4 linked regions of the Caenorhabditis elegans genome follow. The protein of the gene in region 3 purifies or fractionates together with the protein of the main gene of each other region. This does not show direct contact. Each region holds a gene or a part of one and is shown on either strand. Other genes may lie near its edges. The genes, in order: ZC443.2, tbca-1, C18B2.4 and acs-11.

Region 1 (7,026 bases), on a different chromosome or scaffold from region 3:
AAATATTATTCAATGAACAAAACTGTAAGTTTTAAATATATGAAAAGTGAAATAATTTTGGCATATGAAAATTGTAGATCATGTACGGGTGTACTGGAGCTGTCTCAATTGCATTTTGCATGAAATTTTTTATATTTGACATGGTAAAAGTTCGTCACGAAAAGCTCTCGAGAGTTAACAAATTAGCATTGATTGATACAGTAATTGTACTTTTGTTTGATTTTTCATCATCTTTCATTGCATCCAGAACGATTTTTATATATGAGGTGGGTCGCATTAACTGAATCTTTTCAATTAAAAAAAACGTTCAAATTCGACACAATGATGGTTTGTGTCAGTGAGAGAAATGTTAAACACGACAGTCTTTTATTTTTGTATTCGATTATTTTGGATTATTAAAAATGCATTTATCAAAAGTCCGTTTAGAAACGAAATTTTTTTTAAAAATAAACCTTTTGAGAGTTTTACCTTGTGTCGGTAAGTAGGTACGCGTTTAAAACGTACAAGGTTTTTTTTTTAAATTTTGGCAAGTTTGAAACGTTTGCATGTTACACAAACTTACATATGATTTTTTTTAATGATTTTTGTATTTTAAGTTTTTCCCATAGTTTGAACCATCATACATCGAATCCACGCAAGTGCATTCGCACGTTAAAAAAAAATCGTATAATCAAACTAGAGTATCATAACTCTTTATACCGAAACGAACAAATTTGATATGTTATGAGAACATCCAAATTGAGAGCCATTTAAAAATTTCAGGAAATGGGACCATACGATGCTGCTCCAAAATGTTTGGCAGAGCGATTGAATCAATTGTAGTATCCATTCAATTGCACCGTGCAAAAGTTGTCCCGATGAAAAAAGTAGTTTGTATAAGACATACGAGCAGCATTCAAAATTATGGTAGCAGCACAATTCCTGTTTCCAATTAGTGCCTTATTTCCAAGGATAAAATATTTTGAACAGATCGAAAATTGTTTATTTTGGTTCAAAACAAAAGTAGAATTTGTATTTATATTTCTTTTGGACATTTGTTATCTCTGTGTCGCGAATGGATCTTCAGGATGATCAGCAACGCTGAAAAATAGTGTTCAGTATCATTTTTGTTGCTTAAAAAAAAATACTTTGGCCACCAGAAAAGTCTTTCCTGTTTTGTTCTCTCGTGCGCTTCTAGGAGATTTACTTCAGCATTTGAAATGTTGAAATCAAAAATGTTGATGTTTTCTTTCATTCTTTCAGGATTCGTAGTTTTTGGAATAACTATAATTCCCATTTCAACTGTAGCCCGGAGAAGAATCTGAAAATAATCCGGCACAAAATTGTAAACAGATTATTTGAAAATTTACCTGAGCTGGAGTTTTACTGTATTTCTGTGCGAGCGCCTTCACATGTTTGTCGTTCATTTCATTTTCAGAATTTTGAGTGCTTTCAAACAAAGGTCTACCATTTGAACCAACGACAGACATTCTTCCAGGAGAGCCTAACGTCGCATAGGCTGTTATGAGGATGTTGTGTTTTTTGCATAGCTCTCTGTGAGCTTTTTGAGGCAAATAGAGATGAAGCTCAAGCTGAAAAATTTGATGCAAATATATGAAGATTGTCAAAAAAATTTCATCAGAGTTATGTTGTTTTTGATATTTTTTAACTCATAGAAATTATAAAAAAACAGAAAGCAGGTCACCTGAGAAGCGTGAATAGGAACTTTTTGGATATTCATAATTCGGACAATCTGACTTTCATTGAAGTTTGAAACACCAATTGCTTTTGTCAATCCCAAACCATACACTTTCTCGAACCCTCTCCAAATATCTTCAACTTTTACATCAGAACGAAACGATCCATCGTCTTTGGTTGATGCGGGAATATGTGCAAGATACAAATCAACATAATCCAAACGAAGTCTTTTCAGTGAGTTTCTCAATGCTTCTTCTACAACATCAGGCGCAACTTCATGACAGAACGCTTTAGTTGTTATAAAAATATCTTCACGTTTTAAAATCCCTTCGGCAAACAATTCAGCTAAAGCGTCTCCAATTTGATGCTCATTTTGATAAAGAGTAGCTGTGTCGATGTGACGATATCCGGCAAGAACTGCATTTCGGATAACTGTTTTTCCTTCTTCTCCCGTCATCTATTAAGTAGAGAAAATGATGATTTTTAAAGAGTGACGCCAATTGTTTTTTAAGTTTCGAAAAATATCAAAATTTTGTAAACAACTGAACCAATACAACAAATTCTTGAGAAATTATAGAGTGGACTCTTTTCTTTGGCTCATACAGATTTTTGAGCGAAAAAATTATTTTCTAGTTTGCTTCTCTGCTTCTAAATATTTCCGATAAAACATTTTTTGTCTGAATTATTGAAATTTGTTGGGTACAGCTATCCGAAACTTTAATAAAATTCCTAAAAATTATATCAATGTACAAAAACTGGCAATTTCAAGTAACATTACAACCAAGTGTTGAATAAATCCTTGCTAATGGTAGTTAATTTATTCTAAACTTCAAACTAATTTTAAATGTTACCTGCCAGGTACCAAGACCAATACTTGGCATGAGAACTCCATTAGACAGAGTGAAGATTGGAACTTTTGATGACATTTCGAAGGAAAATAAAGTTTGTATAGTTGGGGGTACTTCATATTTATACACAAACCGCAATCCTAATTATCGAATTAAAACTGGAAGAAAGACCTTGAATTTGTGGTCTGTGTGTGTGTTTCTCTTAATATATAAAGAAAATAGTTTGCGCTGTTCCAATTTGTACTTCGTTTTATTGAAATTAACAACATGGACGAGGGGAATGATGAGGAAAAGATTATGTCAAATGGGTAGAAGTAGACGAATAATGACGACTTGGAAGAACACAAAATACATTTTTAAGTACCAGAAGTTTAGGTGACTTGTTCCATTTCCTTTCCATTTTTATTTCTAATTTCTCGGTCTTTTTCCATCTTCTCCAGTCGTGAATTGGTGTATTTGTAATATCCTTCCTTCCCTAAATACCACATCAAGCGATATTCATGCTTTTGATTCATTCTCTCTGCTTTCTTTTTTCTTTCCTCAAAAGTTCGTTCCAGTTTCTCAAGTCGTTTCTTCTTGTACATTCGGTATTTTTCAATAATATGGTCGTTGTGGTCGGCAAAGATGTGAATCTAAAAATTCGATTTTTTTTTCAATTGTAGAGAATTTGGTGTATGTTGTTTCCTAACAGGATTAAAAAGTTAATTTGATGTTTTTGTGAGTTCATTGTACATTTTAACAAAATAAACCTACATTTGATATATGCCAACCAAACTTTCAAAATTTTCAGACTGGAATTTAATTTCAAATTTAAGACAATAATGCCAAACGTGTTCAAGATTTTGACATCTTTATTTAAAACAATTCTAGAAACTCACCGCCCATTCTCCAGCTAAGCCGTCTCTTTTGAATTGAGCATTTTTTAGAAGATAGTCATCTAATGAGTTTTCCAATGCAAATGCCGATGAATAATGAAATCGGAAAGGTTTAATACATCCAATTGGGTGAAGAGAACGGAAGAAATGCTGAAGTTTTGAATAGTTACTATCATTCATTGCAGCATATCCAGGGAAATACTCATTGAATTCTTCAATCGCAGCGACATACTCAATTGACATCAATTTGTGCTCCGATTTTGGGAATGTATCTCTCCATAGTTTGATTACTTTTTCGAACATTTTGAAGATAAGCAGGTTAGTTAGGAAGTGTCCCTGGAAATATTATTATTGTTATTATTATGAAAGAGATGGATAAATGTAGTAAGTATGCAAAAAGTAAATGAAAAGCCAATCGTATGCAAAAGAATAAATGGACAAAAGCTGTAGAGAAGCAGACAAAATGAAAGAGAACGAGAAATAGGATGAGGAACACTACACACATACAAACAAGGAGGCAACGAGTGGACCACCTCAAGCATCTTGTGAGTTATAATTTGCACACACCCCCCGTACACTTCCCCGCTTGTTTTTGATTTGATTTTGTAAAGGATGCAGAAAAAGAATTGAACAAAACAACACGTCATGATGCTCTGCTAGAGTGCTTGGAGCAAATGATAAGAGAAATATTAGAAGCTTTTATTGAAATCAGGTGGTCAGTGGGTGAAGCGCATGGTTTTCCCACAACAATGTGACCTCGATTATGAATTACAAGACTTTATGAAAAATTCGTACTTTATGAAAAATCGTTTGGTAAAATCTTTACGACTTACTTCCGTACTGGATCATCCTAGTGGGTACCTTCATAATACGTACAGTAAGCCTTCCACAAGGACGCAACTTGCGAAAATATTTTAAAATTAAACTCAACAATACTATTTTTAGTTGAACTTAGTTAAAGCTAGAATATGCGAGATTTTAACAAAGTGTTTATCCTGAAATTTAGTGCTGGTCTTGCTCTATTATTTGTACCTTCTATTGGAAACTTGACACCGTGAACTCATGATTTTCTATATCAATTTTCACATTTTTCCACCTCTTCAAAACTTTCCCTCTTTCAAGCTTGAAGTCCCTCTTCGGTTTTCTACAATGCTAACGAGCTTCAGTATCACGCATTACCCATGCGCAAGAAAATGAGAACAGACAAGAAATTTCAATCAAGCCTATTATTATTTTTCTCACTTTTTTTTCCTGTCTACTCACTTTCTCTTGAAGGAAAAGCTTAAAGCAGTGGCACCCACTGCCATCACTACTACAAACCGGTCATTGTCAACAAATAACACAACAACGCATTTTTGTTTTGTTGACGCCATGATGCGCAAGCAGGCATCTAGAATTATTATGCAGTGGTGGGATGGTAATTGTGAAAAATCCGGATGTTTTTACATTTTATACAAAAATTCATATAAGGAGTTGAGGAAAAATGAATACTTGAAACATGAATACATATGAAACAATTAGAGAAGTTACATTTCTATGTACAAATAAGAATGTTAAAAACATTTAGTTACAGTTTGTTCAATTTAATAACTAAAGAAAAACAAACGGTTCTTTGGCATTATTGAACAATTTTGAAAATGAAAAAATTCGGAAGAATGTTAATGAGAAATTTGAAGCAAGAAACACGTTACAGAGTGCACAAGTACCCGTTGGCAGAAAAGCAAGATACTTGGCACCTATAGCATTTCATATTCTAGAGCATCAACGTCCTTGTCCTCGATTTTCTCCAACTCTTCAATGTCACTTCCATCGTCTGAATCCTGATCACATTTGTCGAATTCTTCATGACTATCGGAATCACTCGCATCGTCCACAATTTTCGATTGTGACGCAGCCTAAAAATAGTTTTGTTGAAACTTTACGAGTGAACAATTTGCTTCCCAACAATTAATTAGAAATAACGAGAGAACCATTTTATTTATTATTATTTTGCACAAATCAAACTTTAAGCTAGAACTTACTTTTGTGTTCTTCTTGTCATCCAAGTTCAGTTGCTCCATAACATCTTCTAAAAGAGATGCTGCAATTGTAACTTCATTCGTCTTTTCGGGAACATCTGATTTAAGGTTTTCAGATTTTTCAGTTTTATCCTTTTTCACAGTTACAGATTTAGCAACTTTGAATTTTGCTTCGTGTTTCTTTGTCACAGACATCATCGACTTTTCTGTACTACTTTTCGATTGATGCTTTTTTTGAATAAGATTAGCTTTTGCAGCAGATATGGCAAGTGAATCATCTTCTTTAACCGGCAATGAAATAATGACATTTTCAACTTGCACAGGCGCGGCTACAACAGTTTCTGGTTTGGTCAGTTCACAAACAACCGACACGTTTTTCTTTTCCAGCTCTTCAATCTTTTGGAGTGTTCGGTTTAATCTGATTTTGTTCAGAACAAGCTCACATTCCTCCAATTCTTTATTTTTCTCTTCAACTGGAATTTCATCGCTAGCCATCGATTCAACCACATCCTTTATATCTAATTTATCTTCTTCTAGACTGATTGTGGGAACGTCAAATGAAGTTCGGTTAGTATAAATGCAAGAGTCATCATTCCCAGAGTCTGGCAGTTGAGTGTGTCGTCTCACCTGAAAGTTTTGAGTTAAAAGTTAGTAGACACTGCCACATGTTCCACATTTTCACTTGCACTTACGTCCAGAGCCTTGAATCGCTGGTTTCTTCTCTTTAGTTCTTTTGCAGCTGACCTTGTTTTGTACCGACGGTACTTGCTCATAAATGTCGTATTGTGACCGGAAAGGATTTGAATCTGAAAAGGAAATATTTGTTTATTGCAAAGAACGAACCAAATATATTATTCCATTAGCTTCTTTTTTCTTATAACTCGTTTTGTCCCGTATATTTACCCCGATATGTCACTCACCGCCATATCCCCAGTGACATCCGGCTGTTTGCGAGTGGCAATCATCCGGTCAAAATGTCTCTCGAGTTTGAGAACATGGAAGAATGTATTCTTATCGGGAATCATTGAAAATCGATTGATATCCGCAGTAATGCTCATCATACAAAGGTCATTGTGTTTGCTCGGAGTGTACACTTTAATGTAGTTATAGAATTCATCAACTCTTTCCGGAGAGCCCACGTAGGCTTTTGTATATGCATTGTGAACAGTCTCACGGAAGGCCACAATTGGTTTCTTGACAGTTTTCTTAAGGGAACGAAGGTTTTCAACAACGCCCGATAATCCCATGTCTGAAAGTATTAATGAACGCCGGTTTTGCAAACTTCGAAAAGATAAAAAATGAATTAGGAATGGTGAATAATCTACAGAAGTATAATCTCTGATGACTCAAAAACTAGATTTTCTGGATGAAGAATATATAAAAATGATATGAAAAACTGATATCCCAGTAGCTATTAAAAATGAAAATACAGTCCAAGTTTCTTTCGCGGAACATGTGACCAATTTGGATGAAGCGGCAATTTATCAATAGGATTTTTGAAGCAAAGAAAAAACGAAAGCATATGACTTTGGTTGACTGGGCTATACAACAAATGTAACGACGATGACGACAGGCGAGAAGAGGGTGAAAAGTATTGGGAAAACGGGA
Region 2 (6,419 bases), on a different chromosome or scaffold from region 3:
TCGATGATAGCCGCTAGTTCTTGTACGGCTCAACGGTTTGACCTTTGCGAATGGTTCCCCAGCCAATCAGGCGCCAACTCTTCTCGAAACGACGTGACATGGCAATCTTCTCTCCAACCTGAATTTAAATACAAATTAAATTTATTATTTTATAAAAAGTGGGAATTACCTCTGTGCAAATAGGATCGTTTAATCTGATCTTCGCGGCGTCTCCCTTCACAGCAGTAACTCTTCCTCCCGTTGACAACGATCCAATGTTCACCAGCAAAGTCTCTTCCTTGACAAGCTTCTGCACCTTGGCTCCCTTCTTCTTTCCTTCAGTACGAACTCCGAGCAATCTTCTCAGAAGATAGAAGGAGATTTCAATTTCGATGAAGATATCTGGAAGAGTGCCAACGGCTCCGAGGATGTGACCGACGAGTCGATCTCCACGGCAGAGTGTCGGGTCGATCTTCGTTCCAACACCGATGAGACCGCCGGGAACGGCGTATTCCAGCTGGTTCTTTTCGGCAAACAGAGAGTCGATACGGGAGAAGATCGGACGGCATTGGAGTTGACCGGTCGCGGTTTTTGAGACGATTCCCGGGCGAACTTCGATTTCTTGTCCGACGCGCAGAATTCCCTTGGTCAATGTTCCTCCGGCGACTCCTCCCTTCAAGTTTTCAACTTCAGATCCTGGCTTGTTAACATCGAATGATCGGATAATGATGAGACGAGCCGGCGACTTGAAGTCACGGACTGGCACGGGGATTTTCTTGCAAAGATACTCGCAAACGAGCTGAAAAATCGCAATTAATCTAGTATACACGCTCTCCTCAAGCGTTCATAATTATTAGAGCGCGCTCGCGCGGCCCCTCACGAACTCCAGAATTCGCGGGGACAGCAGTTTTAGGCGGCTGTTTTTGGCTTCTATGGAAATTATTTTTAATTTTTTGTTTAATAATATTGTTGAGAAGCACCATCCGAATTGAAAATGTGTAAAATTATGAAATCTGACCGAAAACTGAAGGTTTTACAGAGAGGAGTCACCACGGCTTTCTTTAAAATGTATCAGTACAGTCAGTTTTTCGATTTCAGAGTCGTAGAATATGTTATTTTGTAGAGAAAAGTCTGTTTCACAAAAATCCATGTTTGAAATTTTAAAATTGTTCTTATGAAAAACTGAAAATTTGAAAAAATTAGATTCTAACGTAAAATTGTTGATTTTTTGAATATTTTTATATTAGAAATTAAAAAATTAAAATTTCAAACATGGATTTTCGTGAAACAGACTTACAAAATGACATATTTTACGACTCTGAATTCGAAAAACTGACGGTACTGATACATTTTAAAGAAAGCCGTGGTGACTCCTCTCTGTAAAAACTTCAGTTTTCGGTCAGATTTCATAATTTTACACATTTTCAATTCGGATGGTGCTTCTCAACAATATTATAAATCAAAAAAATTAAAAATAATTTCCATAGAAGCCGAATATAGCCAAAAACTGCTGTCCCCGCGAAACGAATTCCCGCGAATTCTGGAGTTCGTGTGGTGCCGCGCGAGCGCGCTCTAATAATTATGAACACTTGAGGAGAGCGTGGTATATTTAAATCCAGATTCAGATCCTTACATCAACATTATATTTAAGCTGCGCAGAAATCGGGATGACTGGAGCATTCTCGGCGACCGTTCCTTGCACAAATCCGGCGATTTGCTCGTAATTTTCGCGGGCTTGCGACTCCTTGATAATATCGACCTTGTTCTGAAGAATCATCAAATGATTCAGCTGCATAATCTCGACGGCGGCGAGATGTTCAGATGTTTGTGGCTGTGGGCATGGTTCGTTTCCGGCGACGAGCAAGAACGCGGCGTCCATGACAGCGGCTCCGTTCAACATGGTGGCCATAAGAATGTCGTGACCTGGGCAATCGACGAATGAGACGTGGCGAACACAGGTGAATTCTCCACCGCATCCGGCGCGCTCGCATGGGAACCGATCGGGTGTTGATGAACCGGCGGATCTGAATTAGAATTCAAAAATTATTTATTTAAATTAAATTTCAGGGAGATATTATAACCTGTAACATCCTGGCCTTGGGCACTCTTGGTTAGAACATCTGTAGATCTTTGCATTAGCGTATCCAAGTTTGATAGTAATATTTCTTTCCAACTCTCTTTTGAACTTGACAGTATGCACACCGGAGAACGCTTTCACCAGAGTGGATTTTCCATGGGCTACGTGGCCAATAGTTCCGATATTAATCGTGGCTTGTCGAGAGATAACCTGAAAAATAACTCTTTAACTCAAAAATTATTGATTTTCAGTACCTCCTCGGTGAGTGGGTTCAAATTATCGACTCCGACTTTGTCCAAATCTTGTTTCGCAAGCCAGCTCTGGCACTTGTCCTTTTCAGCTTCTAAATTAAGAAAGAATTATGAAATTTTCTTGAAACCGAAAAGCTAACACTTACCAGAAGCCATATTTTTTGTTTTTATGATCCCAGTTGAGTCGATTATTGATCTTTAAAAAATTATCATTATAATTAATCGAAATTACTCAAAATTAATTGAAAATCCATAAAGATTGCATAGAAAACAGGCTAAAATTGGATAAAATTAGAAATGGGTTAAAGGCGCATGGGAGTGGTTGGAAGGGTCTCGATGCGATTTCGTGTGTCGATTTACGAGCTCGAATTTTATGTTTTGCTTTTTAGCGCGAACCAGGCAAAAATCGTTGAATTAACGGACATCTGTATATTTTTCGTATGGAAATATTAGCGAAATTGCTTCTTAAAATTATTTATACGGCATTATAAACCATGTATTCAAGTAAAATGCAATAATTATTCATCATAAATCACCGAAAATCCCAAAATAACAAAAGAGTATCATAAATTAAGCAGAAATGGAGTCCACAAGCGTCTTCGCATTGACGAATTCTGCGGCTTCCTCCGGATAATTCCCAGAAGCAATCGATTCACGGAGGTCGGCCACAGCTTTTTGGAGACGTGATTGAGAATCGCGGACCATGTTGGCAGTTTCCTGAAAATATTTTAATTTCGTATACTCGTAAATCGGATTATTTCAAAAAACCTTAACAATATCCTTCGACTTCTTGGCAACATACTCCTCGTCCTCGTTGGTGGCGTCGGCGGCGAGTTGGGCAGCCTTCTGCTCCTCCTTCACAACTTGCTTCTCGTAATAGGCGACTTCTTTGACGAGACGTTGCACGGTTCCCGTCTTGATTCGGAGCGCTTTCAGCTGATCGGCTTGGGTCGACATGGCGGCGGGAGGTTCTGCAATGTGAATTTTTGAAACAGAGAACGAGATTGTGAGCTTGCTTTTATGGACTAAAAATCGATAGAAAAAGGCGCAATACCACCGAAAATGTTGTGCTCAATGAGCCGAAAAAGGACGGGAAAGCGAGCAGATGGTCAGACACGCTCGGCGATTTCGAAATAAATACAAATTGACCGCTGTCTGTTGGGCGACACAGGTTCCCGCCAAAAAATCGACTGTTCAAATGATTTCGCAATACATACATAGAGAACGAACAAGAAGGATCAATGAAAAATTCTATGAATTTGAAATTAGGTACTGATGGAACGGCAGATGCACCCATGGGGGTACTGCATAAATAATAAAATTTTAAAACAAGACATAAATTTAAAAATTCAGATTTAAAAAAAACAAACAAAAAATAGCAAAATCTAGAAATTTAAAAAAATTCATCAAATATTAAAAATCTATTGCAATCTGGTCAGTTTGCAAATATACATTGGTCCAAAGTTAGAGGGTAGAAACGGCACGACGAGGGCTCCCAGTGGAGTGTCATGGAAACGATAGAGGCCTGATGACGTCATATGGGATACGAGTTGATGTAGGGATTCCTCGACGGTCACGATTCCAAAGTCATTGCGTACGACGGCTACAGCGTTCTCGACGACTGCCTGAAGAAATTTGAATTAGCATTTTTGAGCTGTTATTTCGACAAAAAACCCCGGTCTCGACACGCCAGAAGTACTGTAGCCGCGAAAGTACGCAATCACCGGATCCTACGAAAAAATGCATGCAGAATTTCGGGATTTTTTTTGAGGGAAAATGTTGGGATCGGGCGAGAGTTGAAGCCAGAATCAAATTTTTAAACGGAAATCGTCAAAATTTGAAATTTTGATTTGATTTTCTCAACTGTTTAGTGAAAATTCGAGATTTATAGTGTTAAAAGAAACGATTTCTTCACATTTTAAACTTTTGTGAAACTATCAGAGCAAAATTTGAGCATTTCGGGGTACTGTAGCGGTGAAAATACGCAAACACGGCAGGGAGCGCAAAAAAAAATGCAGAATGCGATTTTTTTTAAACTAAAATTGGAAAATAGCCGAATATTGTTTTGAAAAATTGAGTTTTTCACGTTTTTTGTAAAATTTTCATCGATTTTTCATCAATTTTCGAATTTTTTACAAATCGAGAAAAAACTATATTTGTCATCATTTTTCAAGGAGTTTTTCAAAAATCGATGCAACAAAAAATTTGGAACTACAGTACTCCTTAAAGGCGCATATATTTTCCTATTTAACAAAAAAATTTGTCGTGCCAAGACCAGGTTCGAGCGAAAACCTCGTTTTGGCTTGGTGAGAGTGTGCACGTCGAGTAGACAACCGAGCCACCAACTTTTACAGATCGCAGTGCATTTCTGAAAGGAAAAATAATTTGAGGGAAAGCCGAGGATCCTTACACAAGAATCTTGGTCTGAAGAACCGGAAGATCAAGCCTCTGCTGAGTGGATCCTGTGCTGAAAAGGTTTCCGTCGTCGGTGCTGACTGATAGACGATCCGTCGAGCACGGAACATCGACGAGCACTTTATCGTAGGCCTCGAATTCATCCCAAGTTTTGACGTCGGACGCGTCCTTGCGTTTTAGGACGAATTTGTCGATTGTCTGCAGGAAAATTTTTGGAGTTTTAGCTAATTTTGGAGGGATTTATATTTAAAAAAAAGAATTTTCGACATTTTTTAATCGAAAAAAAAAACTCTAATTTCAAAAAATTGTTTTATTTTCTGATTTTCCTCAAAAGAGCAGAAAAAAGTTGAAATAATTCGTATTTAATTCAATTTTCTCACTGAAAACCCAATTTTTGAGGTGTTTAAATTGGAAAAATTCGAAATTTAAATCTTGAGAAAAATTCACATTTCTGAATGAATTTTCAGGTGTTTTTAACGAAAATCGTCATTTTTTCAAGTAAATTCTAGAAAATCGAGTGAAAATTTCAAATGTTGGTTTTTTTAAAGAAGATTTCAAACTATGGAAAAAAGTTAAGTGAAATTTCGAGAAAATTCTAGTAATTTAAGCAAATATTCGAAAATTTTGGAAATTTTTGAGCCATTTTTTGGTGAATTTTCGGATTTTAAATTTTAAAAAAATTCCGAATTTTAAAGAATTTTTTTGCGAAAAAAATCGGCAATTTCTCCAAATTTGTCAAAAAATCAATTTTTTTTTCAGAAAAATTTGACTTTTTTGTTTTTTTTACAAAAACTGATATTGCACCTCGCTATCCTCTGGCACATATGTCATAAGCGCACGCTTCAGCTGCCCAAGCCTGGCCAATTTGAAATCATTACAAACGATTTTCGAAGGCAAATTCGACAGAGCCGCTAGAAGACTTTTTCCACCGGGAGCCGCACACATATCCAACAGGGAATCGTCTTTTTGAAGGCCCAAAGCCAAAACTGGGAGCAGTGAGCCACCGTCTAGAAGCCAGTAACTCGGAACTCCGACTTCATCTTTCATCGGAGCCGGGAAGTCTAGAAGGACAGCTCTATCGAATGAGCGGACGTGGAGGGCCTGTGGATAATAGAAAAAGTGATCTCTTTTCGGGATTCGAACGCCTTCTCCTTCAAATCCGGTGATTTCTACATTTTTATTTTGATTAGATTGTCCTAATCCCATCTGCAGACTTCCAGACGAGAGCTCTCCAGCGCTCGCCCGGAACTCGCCGAGCCCTGCAGCAGATCGAAAAATCGCTTCATCCGGCTCAGAATCTTCAGTATTGGTCGAAGTTGAGGGATTCTGAAATTATAATTCGATTTTTAAGCAGCAAGATCAGTAGGAAACTTACTGAAATCTCATGCTTAACCTTTTGAGTCTCCCGATTCGCTTTTTCCTCAACGCTTTTCCGTTTTGTCTCAATCGCTTGGTCCTCGGCTTTTCCACGAATTGAGGCAAGCAAATCCTTGGCGCCCATGTCAGAGAGAATTTCATCGTGAGCTTGCCAGTTTCTGTAAGGTTTTCGGTTAAAATTTTGAGAAACATTTGAAATAAAAGCATATTTTCCTTAAAAAATCAAAAAATCATCCTTGCGTAAATCGACACAAGTTTAAAGGTACATACACTTTGACAGCTGGGTCTCGCAGAGAATTTGGTATAAATTTGAATTTTTC
Region 3 (7,577 bases):
GAAGCGATGTTCGTTCAGCTGCAATGAGAAGGTAAATGAACCAACGATCACAAATTAAAATTGGTTACCGATAAGCTATCTAAAAGTCAAAAGTTGCTGCTTTCTAGTATAGTGTAGTGTTGATAGAGGTCTTGTTTTTAAACTTCGATATTAAAATGTTCACTTAAAAATCATATGAATATTTTTGTACTCTAGTAATAGTGAAAACGTCAATTAAGAGGGAGAACATTTTCTATAGATCAGAATCGAAAAAAAAAACAGAAAAAAACCTAAGATTAGCCAAGACCAAGCTTTTATATTTTTGAAAGTAATACGATGGAAAAGAAATTGTTAATAAAAAAATCATAGATGCAACTAGAAAACAAGTTGATTCAAAACACTAATACCAATTTGGTCATCTTATAGTAAAAACCTTCACCATCAAAAGTTCCAGATCCAACTCTTTCTCCGGAGTCACCCGATCGACCTCCAGCAACCGGTTCTCTCGTCCCGAATATGGATACGGTGGTGGCTATATGGCCCGTTCAATCAACAAATGCGGTAGGCAACCTTCTTATGTGATTGAAAGCGCGTGCTTCATCGTGCTTGTTATTTTCATCGGAGTCATTGGCTTCTTCTTTTGTGTTCTAGCCGTTTGACACTCATCTCCTCCTATCCCAATAACGTACATGTCCTTCATTCAACTTTTTGTCACATCCAGGGTTCTGGATAATCTATGCACTTTTTGTCGGGTTGTTGTTGCCATCGCGAGTAAAGTTTTTTCTTGATGTCTTGTTTTCACACAATCTGGTGATTATCAATGCCAAAAATGCGACACAATATGTATGAAAACTTTCATAAAGAGAAAAAAAAATGAATTGCAATTCATTTTTATCATCTCTTTTCTCACTCTATCTGAGCCAGCTGCTCATTGCTCGATTTACACCCACGCGAGTTTCAAGAGAGAGAGAGAGACACACTTTCTTAGAAAGCGATATCAAGAACTACGTTCTAATAAAAAAAAACAACTTGTTGAATTTCAGGTGGATCTATCTTTGGAAGATCTCTCGCTGCATCGGCGCTCACCACAACTCCACCATTCCACAGCGTTGGAGTTCAGCGTAGTACCCCACATTACACCGACAAGTACGTTTACAGCACATAATGAATATGAAGCTATATTTTCAGATACCCATATGTTCGATACAGCTATGGAAACACTGACACCGGACTCGGCATTTTGACTCAATCGGAATCGGTAAGTTTTATAAGTAGTTCCAATTTTTACAGAATCAGTATCAAATCTCACTATTATTTCAAAAACTCATCTTCAGGTCTACGGCCACCACTCTGGAATTCGTGATATTGGAACTAAGCGTTGGCTGGAGGGAAAGCTCAATGCCTATAACACCTCTCTTTTCACCCGTCCCGACTACCAAAAACGTGTTGAGAGACCACTAGCATCAGCAAGAAGCTACGTCCGATATATGCCAGTTGATGACGCCTTGGATATGTACAAGAAGAGATGTATGACAGTTGGAACGTTGTCGAAGGTAACGCAATTTTTTAGACTACTGTTGTATTTTCTCCATTAGTCTTGCATTTTCGAGTTTATTAAATATCTTAGCAGTTTCTTGTAGGCACCGCATAAATTAAGAAATCCATAGAGTCATTGAATTTTGAAGAAAAATATAATTCGGTTTTTTATCCTCAGTCAGTTGAAAATGTATTTTGCAGTTTCTAGAAAATTAAAAATAAAGCTTGATGGCAATATTCATTCAATAGGAGTATTGAAAAACATGCTTTAAGTGAATTACAAATTAATATTTCTTTTTCATTAATTTGATTAGTTTTGGCGATACATATTTGTCTTTTGTATTATTCAAAAATTGATTACTGGCTGAACTAAAAATATGTATTATCCAGTTTTCTAGAGTTTTGTATATACTCATTTATTTCTTACTCACACTTGAGCCTAGATATAATCTTTTAAAACTCAATTTAAAAAAAAACCAAAATTCGGGTTTATTAAAAGCCTCACAACTGGATACTCACTCTGCACAAGTATTATTTTTTAATAAAATGAAGTGCAATCTATTTTAGTACTGGCTTTCACCAGCTACTTGGGCTTCCCGTCGCGAGAAGGAGCTCAACCTCTCGTCATCTCTCAGCCGTGGAAACTACTCTTACTCTAGCCGATTTGACAGGTACTGAGGTTTTAGTTTTTGGTAAATTAATTATTCTTAATTCAGACTTGGAGGACGCGTTTATTAAATTTTCTAAAACCTTCTGATCCATTTCATCGACTTCAACATTTTTCCATCGCGATTCAACATTCACGATATGTTCTTTCTACACGACTTCTTGACGCCGTTTTCGCATTTTGTTTGGTGTTTAACAAAGTGCGATGAGCAGCTCGGTTCAGTTATTCTTTTTTTTCTTGTTTTATACTTTAATTGATATTCCAATAAAATCAAAATAATTACATTCATTCAGTAAATTAAACATCACCGTTGTATATAAACATGCGGGGAGACGGACAAAGCGAGGACGGGAATCATTGGATTGAAGAGTCGAAAAGCCACGAACTTTTGAAAAATACAAGCTCATAAGCTTTAAGCGGATAAATTAAAACTTTACAACGGTCCATTTTTGGATGGAAGTGGTGGAGCTTCTTGGTAAGCATTGTAGGCTGGTGGCTGAGCGCTAGATTGTTGTTGAATATTGTTATAATCTGGAAGAGTAGAAGGATGAGGAGCAGCTCCTTGTCCGACGTTGAATCCTCCCTGCGGTGGTTGATTAGTTGGATAAGGATGGTATTGTCCTGGCTGTTGAGGTTGTCCAGGGTACGCCCCAACATTCTGGTACTGGACGGTTCCGACTGGCTGGAATTGTCCGGCAGGATACGGCGTGGTTTGTCCGATTCCTGGGTATGGTGGAGGCATGTCGTAAACGTAGACGTTTTGTGCTGGAAAACAATTTGTTTCGAAGAAATTACTACGTCATAAATCTTACCAGGTGGGCGCTCAGGAAAAACGTTCGTCGGAGCTTGGAATCCTTGGTATGTCCCTTGCACCAAGTAGTATGTCGGTGGAGCAGCATAGTACGTAGTGCCTGATTGCTGTTGCATATTTCCACCATATGCTGGTGGAGCAGCAAATGGACGAGCTCTAGATGCTGAAACAGAACCAAAACATTGATGGGAACTATTCAAGACAATCGTACCCATGTCAGCAGCGCGAAGAAGTGCCTCTCCAAACTCGATGCATCCTCCTTTCGGGAAAGACAAACGCCATTCCGGACATCCATCAAAGTTGCCTCCAGGCATTGGTTGAACCCATCCCTGAAAAATTAAAAATGTGACTGCAAGTCATTTAAGATTGAAAAAAAAACCTTGAGATAGTTTGGGGTGAGAAGTGGCTGTTCAAGTTTCACATCTCGCACTGAATTGAATGGCATCGCGAAGGATTTGAACTCATCTTTCTTGCTCTCGTTCATGAAAATTATCTGAAAAAATAAAGTTGAAATATTTGAAATTTAGGATCAAACGTTTTGGTTTTCAGCTAAAATGAAAAAAAAAACCTATCCAGAAATGAAAATTTGCAACTCAAAAACTTTAAAACTCACTCTGTGTGAAGTGAGATAGAGGGCTCCCGACTTGGTGGACTTGAACGCAGGAACATTGTACTTCTCGAACTTCAGCTTTACATTTGTTGTGTAGAGAAGAATCCTGAAATTATAAAAACTTATTTCATAATTTGAAAAGAATCAGTTTTGAGAAAGAATTTAAAAAACTTACATTTCTCCATTATAAATCAAAATGCCTTGGCCATCGGGTGTGTGCGACGTGTTGAGCGACATGGTGCTGCTGAAGAACAAAAAAAAATCAAAAATACTGCTTTTTAAGGAGGAAAATGGAATTAATGAGCAGATCGGGAATTGCGAAATACACGAAATCGACGAAAAACGGCATGGAATGGCGTGATGGCAACGTTTTCATACGGCGAGGGTAGCCAACACTGACTCACGACCCCGAGACCCGCAATGGAGCGCGTTTTCCATTGCCTTGTTTTCTGCGTCTCTCACAAGTCATGGCTCTCTAGTGAGTGGTGAGTGGCGAAAGACAAATAGTGTTTGCCATTAGATAGAGAGGGGAGTATCGATGCCATTAATCATGAATATGAAGGTTTATTATTATAAGGGCAGAATTGCCGGGAAATAAAGGTAATTAGGCAACGAGCTACTTTTGGAAAATTTTGAGTCGATTTTGGTCGTGTATTTAAACATTTCTGGAAAAAAAACAAGTAGTTGTATTAATTTGTTGAACAATTTGTGGTGAAAGTTAAAATAAATAAATAAGAGAACATTTATTATGTTAATTTGAAAGACTCTTAAAAATTTGGTGAATTCATTTGAAACTTTTCTGGTTTTTAAAGTAGATGTACTCCAAAGTATTCAAATGTTTCTTTTTTGTTTCTGTATAGTTCAACACATTATTATCCGGCCTAAGCTCCAAAAAGTTCGAATGTTATGTTCACAATTTTAATTCACTTTAAAATGAGTATCATCATTTGCTTTGAATTTTAAGGAACTTTTGAAAGTGATAGTATCTATCAATCTAGGCTTTCTCTGTACACTTTGAAAATTAAAATTTCCTGAAATTCGTTTTATACACTAGGTAATCATATTTGTAAAACTTGACACTTGTAATAGCGTTCCTCTTAACTGATATGTCGAAATTTCTAGAATTTCCTATAATATTATTTGTATTTTTGATTTAAATATCAATGAACAATATTATTCTGCCAAAAATTATATTAGTTCCTTAGCGAAAAGAAATGAAGCTGAAAAACAAAAAAAACGATTGATAGGGAATGTTTATCGAGTCGCGTTGGATAAAAATGTTAAGTCGAACAATAAATACAAAATGAGTGGATCGGAGATTAAATTGAAACCATTGAATCAGAAAACACAAATAATAATACTAATAATAATAAATTGTTTTTTAATACAACACTTTATCAGCAAACACTGGAGCTTGTTCGACTTTTTGTCCCTTGTTGTGTCGGAGGATGGCAACTAGTGGGTGGACAGTTTCTTGCAAATCCTGAAGTGAAAGATTTAATAAGGTAGTTTCAGAAGCATAGATAATAAGCTGACCTATCAAAACCGCAAAAATTAATATCATCTCTCACATTCGAACATTATTAATACAATTTTGAAAAGTGAGTTAATATGAGTTAAAAACTTGATATGAAAAAAGCTTAGAACTAAACCGAAAACAAAAATATATAAATATGTTTAAAAAAATTATTTAAATGTTCATAAGCACATTTGAAAAATTTTATGTCATAATTACTATAAAAACCGGAATAGTTTTCATGGAAAGTTTTCTATTTTGAATATTTGAAAGCCTTCCCATACATATGAAATAAATTAAAATTATGCTGAAGTTGGAGTTCAAAATATGTTAAAGTTTCATCAGATACAGTTTTTTCTGCATACGTTTTTCAATATAAGTTTGAATTGAATTTGATCCCGGACGGGTTGAAAAATAATCTTGAGACGCCTCAATTTATACTTATGTTCTTTGCTTTCATGTGATGATTTTTGAAAGATGATTTTTGAAAGCCAAAATTACTTTTCAAATAAAGTGTACTATTTTCAGTTATTTTCAACTAAACCGAGTTAAATACGCAGACTGAGACACCTAGTATTTTCAGTTTTAAATTTCACTTCCCCAACCCATAATATTTACTCTGAAAAGATTCTCCAACGAAGCTGTTCCGTGTGTCCAGTAGAGATTATGTTGAAGTTTGGAAATTCCTGTTGGGAGTGGTGCGAATCCCGAGTTGTTAACTTTGTAGTATTCAAGGAAAGAAATGTTGGCCTGTGTGAGACTTTTGATGGCAATTGGCTGTGGGAGAACTTCAGAGTTGGTGATAATCGGCAGAACGTTTGTTTTCAAATCGTCTCCGAACATTCTCTTAACATCAGCCAACTCATAAATGAACGGCCATCCCAGTTGATTCTCGTCGTGTCTCAAAACAATTGAGATTGCATCAAGACGGAAGGATCCAGATTTGAGAAGCTCCTAAAACGTGAAATTTAGAATTTTTTGCAAAGTTTCAATAGTTCACCTTCTCAAACCACTGCTTGATAAGTCGCGAGACCGTCTTGTTGCCCATTTTGTCCTCAACCCCGGGTGTGTCAACAACAGTGACGTTATAAGGAAGAACAGTGTTGTTGAAAACGTAGGCGGTGAGTCCAGTGGTTGCGTTCACATGCTCGTCCAAAACAAATCTGAAAAAAGAAGAATAATGAACATTATAACATTGAAAATTAAAAAATTAAGTTACCGGAAATCATTCTCCTTCTTAACATCATACAAATAGTTCATCATGCTGGTAATAGCAGAAGTCTTTCCAGAATTAACTGGACCGAACAGGAGCAGAGTCTTGTCATCGTCACTTGGTGGAGCATCTCCTCCAATGATAACCTTGTTGATCTTGTCATTCTTGGAGAAGTTTTCAACAACATAGTATTGTGGAACAACGAGCTCGTATTTTCCGCTGCTTGCAATCTAATAATTTTTAAGAATATTAAAATAATTTTCATATGAAAAATAAATGACTTACATGTTCTCCTGCTGCCTTTTGTTTAGCAGCTAGTGGGCTGACACGAGCTTCCTCCTCTTCGTAGATGCTTGAGTCCACGCTCTCTTAAATATTCGATATACGCAATAGAAAATTTAAATAATATGTTTTACATAGAAGTTCGCACAGAAAACGTTGATTGTACTCAGAAAATTGAACAAACAGAAAATTGAAAACTGCCACACATTTTTGCAGGTGCATGGTTTTTTTTCTTTTAAATAATTTATACACTTTTGTAGAGTGTGTGCAGTACACCTGGCCCGAAAGTTTTAACCATTTTAAAAATGTTCGTGATTTTTTTAAATCTACATTAGGCATGGGATTAGTGTTTCCTGAGCTTAAAAATGCAAATGTAGTTCAAGTTTTGATTATATTATCATTTTTGAAAGAAACGACTGAAAGCGTATTGGATAATAGTTTTGGGTATGGTATACTACACAAGTTCCTCTAGAGCATTGTGATCTTTTCGGAAGTGTTTTGGAAAGCCTCAAACTTTTGTAAAGCTTCTAACATTTTTGAAAGATTTGAAACAATTTTACACTTTCAAAAAAAAAAAAACTATCACGGTTATGTCAGCAAACCGCAACCTCTTCAAAAGCTCTATATCAAATTTTACGAAAACTACAGTAATCCTACCGTACTCCTGCAGTACTCCTACGGTACACTCACTTCGACCTCAGAAAAATGAAGCCTGATTATCTTGTTATTTTGGCAAGTTTGAGTGTTTGTTAAGACCGTGTTTATAAGTCTAATTAAATTCTCTAAAACTTACTTGAAGAATGGCTGGATTTCGGCTGTGGCGGCAAATGATGATGATCGTGCTCATGGCTGTACGAGCGAACGTGGTAGCCTTGTGGCTTCGCACCTTGTCCAATTTTGTTGACCTTCAATGAAGCTTCACGAGCCAAATTAGCATGAGTCATGCGGTCATTGTCAGCGCGT
Region 4 (9,252 bases), on a different chromosome or scaffold from region 3:
TGGACTTCCCATAGGATTGAGTAATTTTCTACACTATTCCAAGACAAAATAAAACTTGAAATTGGAGAAAATTCATCAAATCCAGTGGATTGAATTTAATTTAGAAAGTCATATACTTTTTTCTTCTCTTGTGGAAATACCACTCCCTAGTGACGTAGGTATTCTTTCAAGGCGCCTATGCCTACCTCGTGGGTGCCTAACTATTCGTAAAAAGGTCCTAAAGGTTGATCAAATCCTAAATTAATTATAGAACAATCTGTCAGTTTGACAACTTTTTGTAGTCCCACTAGACACATTTAATGCCCTAAAAATAACTAGTTAAAAGTTGGAAGTCCTTTCAGACACTAAACTGAAAATTCCCTACGCCTGACGACATCTTTTATACAACTTTTAAAGACAAGTCACATGTTCACCTTTAACTTACTGAATTTCATGTTTAAACAAAACAATAATGACGTGGAATATCGAGGAAGGTCATTGATGTAAAGAGACCACCTATATAAAAAGAGATAAAAAGTTATCATTTGAGGAGGCAGTTTATGAGCGAACGACACATTAACATGTAGCAAAAATACGTGTCTGCCTACCTGCCTACAAGATCCATACGCCTACCGCGTGCCTAGCGACCTACGCCTGCATACAAGGTGTGCCAACGCGGTTAAATTCCAATGAAAACTGATGCATTTACGAAAGATTGTCTATCTACTAAAATCAGTTAAATCTCGGGCTTCCAAGTAGGCGCCAAAACGCCTGCCTTGCGCCTTCACACGAGGTAGGGATGTTTGCAGACTGCACTTTTTTTGCCTCAATTAATTAAGCAAGGTTAGAATCTGGAATTTCATTGGTTAGTCTTATAACGGGAAAACAACAAAAAGAAGAATAAAACTATAGTTTATTGCTTCTTTATTAACAAAATCAAAAAGCAATAATTTTTCATTATTTTTTGCCAACTTCTAGATTAAACATTTCTACACGATCTCCATAATCGAGCCAGACATCGTAGAACCATTGACAGCGAATCAAAGATGATCTGATTGAGAATGAATGCGTGTGGCAGCGGAGATTTGTATGCGCGGATGGGCGGCGCGGGAAAAGGGGCGTGACACACACTTGACTACTGTATCGGAATGTGGCACGTGAATGAATCACGTGAATCCACTTTATGCACTTTGACACCTTACGGCTTCTACAGAAGCTTTATTGTTGCAGAAGGGGAATTGATAAGGTAAGAAAATTTAAGAAAAATGAGTGAAAGCAAAGCTTCAAACTGCAAAAGTTTAAACTATAATTTATCAACTTTATAAAATGCGTACTTAAGGACCCAAAAATTTATTATGTAATTATATTACCGGGTCTCGCCACGACAAATTGTTTTATTGCGAAGAGGTTTGCGCCTATAAAGAGTACTGTAATTTTGCTTTTTGGAAGACTAATCAATTTTTGATAGATTCCCGATAAGAATATATTTATTTTTACATTTTTTGTCGTGTCGAGACCGGGAACCGTATTTTTGCCCAAATGTCGGGAAAGTAGAATACATTTGTGCACCCACTTCGGAATGTTAAGATAAAGTAGCAAGAACAAAAATAAATTTCAAATAAGCGAAGGACTTTTTTCGCTGCAAGACCCATTCAAAAATATGAACAAAAAGAAAAAATAGTTATCAGCTATCAGAAAAAAAAAACTAAAACGAAGAAAACAATGGCTAGTGTCGTCGTCCAGGTCCGACCACTCCGTCCATCGTCCTCCCATTTATAAAACTTTCAGGTCTCCATGATGTCTCTCCATTTTATGTACACTCTCTACAATTGAAAATACTTCTGAAATGATCACTTTGAAGGCGAAGTCACATTTTTCTGATTTTTGAAAGTTGAAAGTCGCCTTTTTCTTTTTCAATAGCTCTCTTATCAAATTCGAAGAAATTCCTACGCGTGGGTGGTGGCGACTAACCACTGTTCGGGGGAAATAACAAGTGTTATAGATCTTTCTTTGTATTTCTTTTTTGGACCGAGAGATGTTTGACGAATTGTATATGATTCATTCACGCTCCCGTTTGGATATTTTACAGCGGAATTTTTGATCCCAGCAGGTTCAAACTAGGTGCATGGGGAACTACTTCGAGGAACTTATGGATGGTTTTTTTAAACAATTCCAGATTTGTAAGTTTATTTTCAGGACAATTTTTGCCAGCCTCCAAGGCGAACGACGCCTGCCCGGGGCCTACCTAGTAGGCATGTGAACAGGTAGACACGCCTGAAGACGTACTTGCCCGCAGTGGGAGCCTTAAAAGTAAATTTATAATTTATAGAAAAATTTGCAAAATGGTACATTTCCTTACTTTTCTTTAGGTTTAGGCTTATGTTGGACGTGTAAAAATCATGAAATACGCTATTGTATATTCGTAGGACCTAGACATATCTACTTAAATGCGCACGGATTCGTTCAGGTGGGCCTCGGAATAAATCCGTGCGCCTTTAACAGGATATCTCAGAATTCTGCAAAATTAAGATACCCGCTGCTGCCACGATGAAAACATTTCGAATTGGGTCTTCTCGAAAGCGCCTTTAAGTTGTACAGTAACCTACCTCTCGTAATTTTGTGACTTCCTTGGGTATTGATTTATTTTGCATGTATTTGCAAAAAAAGCGGAATAATGGCTAAGTGGTTACTGTACTTTTTAAAGGCTCACACCGCAGTTTCAATTCAAAAAAATTCGTGGTGAGACCATAAGGAAGCTGACAAGCATTTCGAAGTACAGTATTTAGCACATCACACATCGAGTTTCGGCAAAGAGTTTCGCAAAAACCATGGGCAAATCTGTGTCATAAATCACTATACTCTTTCGTTTTTTATCTTCCTTTTTGTCTTTTCACTTCTCTTTATAGCCAAAGTTCTCACGGGCTTCACGTGATTCCAACATGTCCAAAACGGGTACACACTGACCGCGTAAGATGTTGCCAAGATATATAATATCATTGATGTTAATCTGATAATCAAATGTCTCTCATCTTAAGAATAGTCTGACTGATTACGGGGTCAGGAGGACAACGTCGTCCTAAAAGTGTGTGGAGAACAATAGAAACAAAAAATATCTATAAACAACTGTTATTTTCTACTGTTAAAAGTTGAAAAATTGTACAAAAGATTCTACAATACTTATGAAATATTTACAATTTGAAAATAGAAAAATGATATCTATATTTTGGGGATGTATTGTTGACTGGGAATGGAATTAGGCGAAGAGGTTCTTGTAGGTGTCACGGAGAACGTTTTTCTGGACCTTAGTGATGTGATTTCGTGGCAAATCATCCAGTACAATCACTCGCTTTGGAACCTGAAATGTTAGACATTGAGCTTTGATAATTTGATTTTAATATTTGTATCCTATTTGCAGAATAGGTATGTTATCAAACATTTATAAAAATCACATGTTTTTTTTATAGAAGTTGATTGAAAACAGGTTGTTATAACTTGAAAAATTACAAATATCTGAACGAGAATTGCGGTGTCCGATGGAAATTTGAAAACTCAAAAAAAAAGTTTTAAGGGGATTATTATGAGATTTTTGACGCAAAAGTACGGTACCCGGTCTCGACATGACACATTTTTGTTAAATGCAAAAAGTTGTGCGCCTTTAAAGAGTACTGTAACGTAAAACTTTAGTTTCTGCGGGATTTTTCATAATTTTATTTTAGTGCTTCTAATTAATAAATTACTTACTGAATAAGTAAGTAATCATCGTTAACGAAAATTTGAGATTACAGTAATCTTGGCGCACACAGAAAAAAAATGAAAAAGAAAATTGAAAACAGCAAGACGAATTCAATTTTTTTAAAGTTTTTCTGCATTTATTGATTAGTTTCACAACAAAAAAATAAAAATGGCAGAAAATATTAGCCAAACGCGAAATTTTTTTTGTCAAATACAAAAAGGTGTGCGCCTTTGAAGAGTACTGTAGCTTAAAATTTTTGTTTCTGCGAAATTTTCACCCATTTTCTATAATTTTTTGAATAAAAATATGCGTTCATTATAGAACTGAAAAAAACGCACAGATTTTGACATAATATGAAAAAAAATCGATGAAAAATTCGATGCAACGAAATTTCAAGATTACAGTACTCTAAAGGCGCACACTCTTTTTCATTTAAATTTGTCGTGTCCGGGTACCGTATTTTTAGCGCAAAAATCTTGAAATTTCGGATTATTTTTTAAATAAAAAAACTTGCCTTATAATTGGCAACCTTCTTCTTCATAATTCCAATAAGCTTCTTCTCAAACTCCTTCTCATCAGTCACCTTCTCCGACGGGACTACAATTGCAACAACTGCTTCTCCAAAATCTGGATGTGGAGATGCAATAACTGCAGATTCTTTAACAAATGGAAGTGTATCAATGAAATCTTCAAGTTCTTTTGGATATACATTTAATCCTCCAGTAATAACCATATCCTTTGATCTTCCACCAATCGTCAAATAACCATCCTCATCAAGATGTCCAACATCTCCAGTTTTAAACCATCCATCTTCAGTGAATTCTTCAGCTGTCTTCTTTGGATTCTTCCAATATCCAGCGAAAATCGCATTTGTCTTCACTTCAATTCCTCCATTTTTTGCAATTCTACATCCAACTCCTTGTACAGCCGGGCCAACAGTTCCAGCTTTTCTCTCTCCATTCAATGGATTAGTAGTCATAACTCCAGCTTCTGTCATACCATATCTTTCAAGAATCACTTGTCCAGTTCTTTCCCTGAATTCTTCAATTGTAGATACTGATAGAGGTGCAGATCCAGAAATGAATACTCGAACATTTCCGAATGCTTCTTTATTGAAATTCTTTGATGCCAAAAGTCTTGAAAAGAATGTTGGTACTCCCATCATAACCGTCGCATTTTTCATGTATTTTATACAATCTTCAACTTCAAATTTCGACCGCCAAATCATTGTTGAATGTGAGAATAAAGAGCAATGAAGGGAATAATAGAGTCCATGTACATGATAGAATGGAAGTGCATGTAGATTATAATCATTTCCAGTAAATCCCCAGTCTCGGACAATATCATGTGCGTTGTTAGACAATGATCCATGAGTTAAGATTGCTCCTTTTGGTAGTCCGGTGGTTCCTGAAGTGTAGCAAACTGATGCGGGATCCGATTTTTCGACATGTTCGATCATGGTGCATGCCTGGAAAATGTTGCATTTGAATATTGGGCATGGATAGTATGTATATTGTGTTTTCTTTTGACTTAATTTTGACATGTCAGTTTAAAGGCACACGATATTTTCCGGGTGGGTCTCGGCACGATCACGGCGTTTTTTGGTTTGATCGGTATTTCGATACCGAAAAATCCAAAAAAAAGTAGTCACTTTTGTACTCCAAACACTTTTCCTATTTTCCTAATATTCTTGTCAAAATTTTGGTTTTTAATTTTTTTTTCTAAAAACGTTCAGAATAGATACTGCACGGTGGCTGAGATCGTGACGAGACCCAAGCAGAAGAAGATCGTGTCCCTTTAAACTGGAGGCTCAAGTTTTCACGAATTTGTAAAGTAAAATTAATATTTTTTTCTATATTTCTTGATTAGCATCACAAGGAATTTGTGGTTTTTTCAATTTTGAATTTTTTTTTGAAAATTATTAAATTTTTCATATTTTCCAGCTTACATTCAAGCTTCCTGCTTCAGATGCCAACTTATCCTCGTTGATAACCCTGATCTTATCTCTGAAAACTTTATCCAATTCTTCATTGCACGAGACTAGAATCGAAGGTGTCGCATCCTTGATATAGTGAGCAGCTTCAGATTCAGTATATCCTGGATTGACTGGAATATAGAGTGCTCCGATTTGAAGACAAGCAATGTAGAGAGCAGCTGTATCGGTCGTTTTTGATACTCTAGCCATCACACGGTCTCCTTTCTGAGAAAATTTGAATTTGAAAAGTTGAATTTATACAATTTTAAAGATAAAATGACCTTTATATTGTACTTTTCAGTCAGAGCAGTTGCATATTGCCCAGTTCGTTTAACAAATTCTCCATAAGTCGTTTTGCGATCGCCATCGATAAAGAGGAGCTGGAAAATTATAAAATTATGGAAAAAACGTTCAGAAGGATATTGAATAGCAACCTTCGAAGGATCGGATTGAAGCTGAGCTTGACTGACAATATTGTTGGCTGCAGAAGAAGCGGCACGGAGCCCAATTTGTGGATGGACGGAGCTGACTAGACGACTGAGCATTTCTGAAATATCTAATTTTCTGTAATAGAAACAATGCTTTAAAATGAAAAATTCAAGAAAATTAGGCAACTTCTATTTAAAATTCAACTTTGGAAGTTTTTTTTCAAAGTTTTCGCATTCTAATTGCACAAAATATGCACAATACCGTAAATTTTCAATTTTTTATTTCAAAATGATGTTCAAAAATGCTTGATTTGGTTTTTAACCTTATTTCATCAATTTCTGCATTTTTTTTCTTTTAAAAATAATTTTTTCTACGAGTAAGAACTTTTTCAGTTTTTATCGGACTTTTCAGGTAGATTCTAAGTTTAAAACAAGGTTTTTGTTTCAAATCTGCAGTGCTTGAAAACAGGAAGCTGTAGAAAACTGAATTAAAATCGTGAATTGATCGGGTTGACCGTTTCTTATAACGAGATGTTGTTGGCCCTGCGTCTCGTATTCTCGATTTGTCATTCTTAAAAATGGCAACAAAGATAAGAGGTTGAAGGGAGAAGAAACCTTCGTCGAAATGAGTTCTTTGGTGGTGAAAACGTGATTTGTTTGATCTGAAGAACAAGCATAGAACATCATTTTTTTTGATCGAAATGAGTCATGTAATGGATATCGAGTCAGAACACAAGAAAAGGAAAAAAGGGAATCTAATAAATAATTATAATCACATTTTTCACCTAGGAACAGAAGAAAATGAAAGCGTATTATACAACAAAGGCTGAGGGATATTTTAGAAATGAGATAAAATTTAAAATTTTTAATAATAAATAAATTAAAATTGAATAATATTACACAGAAAATGTGCATTTTGGCCGAAATCGTAGTTGAACCGAACGTGATATGAGAGGAGAAGGGACAACACAGGAGAAAATATTTTCAACAAAAAAGAAAATAGAACCCATTTTTGGTGAGATTTTTGGGAAGATCCTGAACTTTTCAGACGGGGTACTTGGATTCTGGAGCAAGGCGATCGAGGACCTAAAACTTGAAATAATTGATAAAAATCCTGATTCGTTAGAACTGACCTGTCGGATTCCAGGAAGATATGTGATTGTTGAGATTCCGGGGATACTTCTGAGCAAATTGACAATTCCAGGCAGGAAACCACTGTAAATTCATTATTATTAGATTAAATTTAATTTCGTGAGCGATTAGTTCAAAATGTTTGTTACAAATCGAAGAAAAAGAGCAGAAAATTCAAGATATTGATTCTATTGCAAATATTTAGAAAACTCAACATTTTTTAGTCAAAAACTCACCCGAAAAGGACAATAAATCCCCAACACTCGGCAATCATTCCGAACAATGGGTACCCAAATAGAACTACCAAAATCCCTGAAAATAAATTTTTAAATTAAAATAATGAATTCCTTGTGATCGAACCTCCGAAGAAGAGAATGCTTCCTTTCAGTTTTCGGAATTCGAAGAAGAAAACAAGTGTTCGCTGCACGCCGATAATAAATGTGATTCCAACAATGAATAGAAGCTGAAAATAATAATTTTATGCTTTAAATTTACAATAAATACTTACATTTCCGATAGCTAAAAGAGCAGAATCAAGGAACATCAGCACTCCGAGAAATATGAAAAAGAAGCCGAACGTCGTTAACCCCACTCCGATTTCTGAAATGTTTCACAGTTTACATATATTTTCTGATTTTCAAACTTACGTTTTGTTGTGCTTACTTCGAAATTCATCATTTTGACTGGACCCAAGTGGTTTCTCTTTTAAACGGCTGAAAAAAATTAAATTCTCAAAAGAATCGGTCATAGAAAAACAAATAGAAGAAGATTATTGATTTTTTGAAATAAATTTGCGTTTCTTTTTAGCAAATGAAACTGATTTTATCTCGAATTGAAAAATTTAAGCGAAAAATCGGAAAATAAAACTGGAAATTCCGCGGAAATGACGTGTACGTAAAATTGCGGACCACGTGGCCGCCGTGCATTTCCGCGTGGCCTAGAAACTCGCACATGGCCGAAGTAGCGAAAATCGGCGGGAAAAAGGAAAATTTAAATTTGAATGGTAAACTTTTGAATTCGTAGTATTTTCGCTCAATTAATACGATTTTTATTGAGAAATTGGACAAAAAGTAACTATGTTGGTTGGAAGTGCCACAAAAGGCATTTTTGAGATTTCAAATCGATATTTTTTCGAACAAACAAGACTTTCCAATTATTTATTGACTATTTCCAAAGGTACAACGTATTAATAAGTAGAACATCAGTTTTATTAATCGAAATTACTTGAAATTTTAATCCAAACGTCATATGAGTAAACCGATTACAGTTATTTGGAAGCTTTCTGAAAAATATTTCAGTGTATTCGAAAATCACAAAATTTAAAAATCAAATTTCATTATTCAAAACTTGGAAAATTGACCAATAGATTGAAAAATAAATAAGAAGATAAAAATATTATTTGTTCTCCAAATTTAAAGTGGATGATTATTCAGGAACTGTTGAACGGCGTAGTACATTTGTGGAGCTCTCCATTGTGGAGCCATATGTCCAGCTCCGCGAATAGTGATGAAACTGAGCCCATCGAAAAGTGTCTTGAATCCGGCGATTTGTCTATCATACTTCCATGGAGTCTTTTTAAGTGTTCTACGAAGTCCAAGTTGATCAGAGAATTGCTGTCCCATCATAAAGTTGCAGGCCATATCAGTATCTCCATAGTACAAAAGAACTCTGACGTGGTTCTTGACGATCTTCTTGATGAATGGAGTCATATCGGTGTACTGCTTCTGGTAGGTAGTAGTCACCTTGTCACTGAAAATTTTTGTTTTGATCTCTGGGCTTGGGCTCTTTGGCTCAGGCTCACCTGCAGATATCCCATTTTCCAAGATTGAATGGAATGTGGATTGCCTTACGAACCTTTGGATTGTTCATATAGGAGAGCATCTCAGTATCGTTGAGGCATGGAACATCAGCCTTAAGTGGCTTTTGGGATTGAGATTTGTTCTGAAAGATACAAATATGAAGTGACTGCTATGGTGGTAATTATTGATCAAATTAAAAAAGTTTTA

Evidence for each region.
Region 1: the proteins of C18B2.4 (region 3) and ZC443.2 fractionate together in Caenorhabditis elegans (co-fractionation; one large-scale study listed by BioGRID). This does not show direct contact.
Region 2: the proteins of C18B2.4 (region 3) and tbca-1 fractionate together in Caenorhabditis elegans (co-fractionation; one large-scale study listed by BioGRID). This does not show direct contact.
Region 4: the proteins of C18B2.4 (region 3) and acs-11 fractionate together in Caenorhabditis elegans (co-fractionation; one large-scale study listed by BioGRID). This does not show direct contact.

What each region holds. Positions count from the first base shown.
Region 1 is NC_003283.11:12,807,456-12,814,481, forward strand, and holds ZC443.2 (uncharacterized protein), read right to left. Parts: upstream 3,738-7,026; 5' UTR 3,704-3,737; coding exon 3,404-3,703; intron 3,285-3,403; exon of another isoform or gene 3,158-3,284; coding exon 2,897-3,157; 3' UTR 2,757-2,896; downstream 1-2,756. Other genes in the region: ZC443.7 (Serpentine Receptor, class BC (Class B-like)), read left to right, coding at 1-24, 78-266, 763-822; ZC443.1 (NADP-dependent oxidoreductase domain-containing protein), read right to left, coding at 1,038-1,080, 1,128-1,300, 1,350-1,571, 1,685-2,134, 2,529-2,603; ZC443.3 (Glutamic acid-rich protein-like), read right to left, coding at 5,137-5,295, 5,422-6,045, 6,111-6,224, 6,339-6,665.
Region 2 is NC_003279.8:2,309,355-2,315,773, reverse strand, and holds tbca-1 (Tubulin-specific chaperone A), read right to left. Parts: upstream 3,279-6,419; 5' UTR 3,265-3,278; coding exon 3,076-3,264; intron 3,025-3,075; coding exon 2,878-3,024; 3' UTR 2,817-2,877; downstream 1-2,816. Other genes in the region: eif-2gamma (protein-synthesizing GTPase), read right to left, coding at 14-118, 170-778, 1,613-2,003, 2,061-2,266, 2,311-2,399, 2,454-2,463; 5-cytosine rRNA methyltransferase nsun-4, read right to left, coding at 3,729-3,932, 4,600-4,675, 4,718-4,920, 5,527-6,048, 6,098-6,257.
Region 3 is NC_003284.9:3,601,895-3,609,471, forward strand, and holds C18B2.4 (GRAM domain-containing protein), read right to left. Parts: upstream 3,848-7,577; 5' UTR 3,841-3,847; coding exon 3,779-3,840; intron 3,710-3,778; coding exon 3,607-3,709; intron 3,487-3,606; coding exon 3,373-3,486; intron 3,323-3,372; coding exon 3,205-3,322; intron 3,157-3,204; coding exon 2,995-3,156; intron 2,948-2,994; coding exon 2,616-2,947; 3' UTR 2,397-2,615; downstream 1-2,396. Other genes in the region: C18B2.3 (uncharacterized protein), read left to right, coding at 1-31, 434-540, 1,023-1,125, 1,168-1,237, 1,314-1,532, 2,083-2,186, 2,232-2,253; C18B2.5 (G domain-containing protein), read right to left, coding at 4,985-5,086, 5,738-6,073, 6,120-6,282, 6,339-6,562, 6,618-6,700, 7,408-7,577.
Region 4 is NC_003280.10:4,739,119-4,748,370, reverse strand, and holds acs-11 (fatty Acid CoA Synthetase family), read right to left. Parts: upstream 6,235-9,252; 5' UTR 6,233-6,234; coding exon 6,122-6,232; intron 6,068-6,121; coding exon 5,969-6,067; intron 5,913-5,968; coding exon 5,661-5,912; intron 5,181-5,660; coding exon 4,227-5,180; intron 3,335-4,226; coding exon 3,233-3,334; 3' UTR 3,091-3,232; downstream 1-3,090. Other genes in the region: eas-1 (putative Golgi transport protein 1), read right to left, coding at 7,160-7,201, 7,249-7,330, 7,483-7,558, 7,607-7,709, 7,755-7,846, 7,894-7,924; Serine carboxypeptidase ctsa-1.1, read right to left, coding at 8,659-8,995, 9,048-9,187.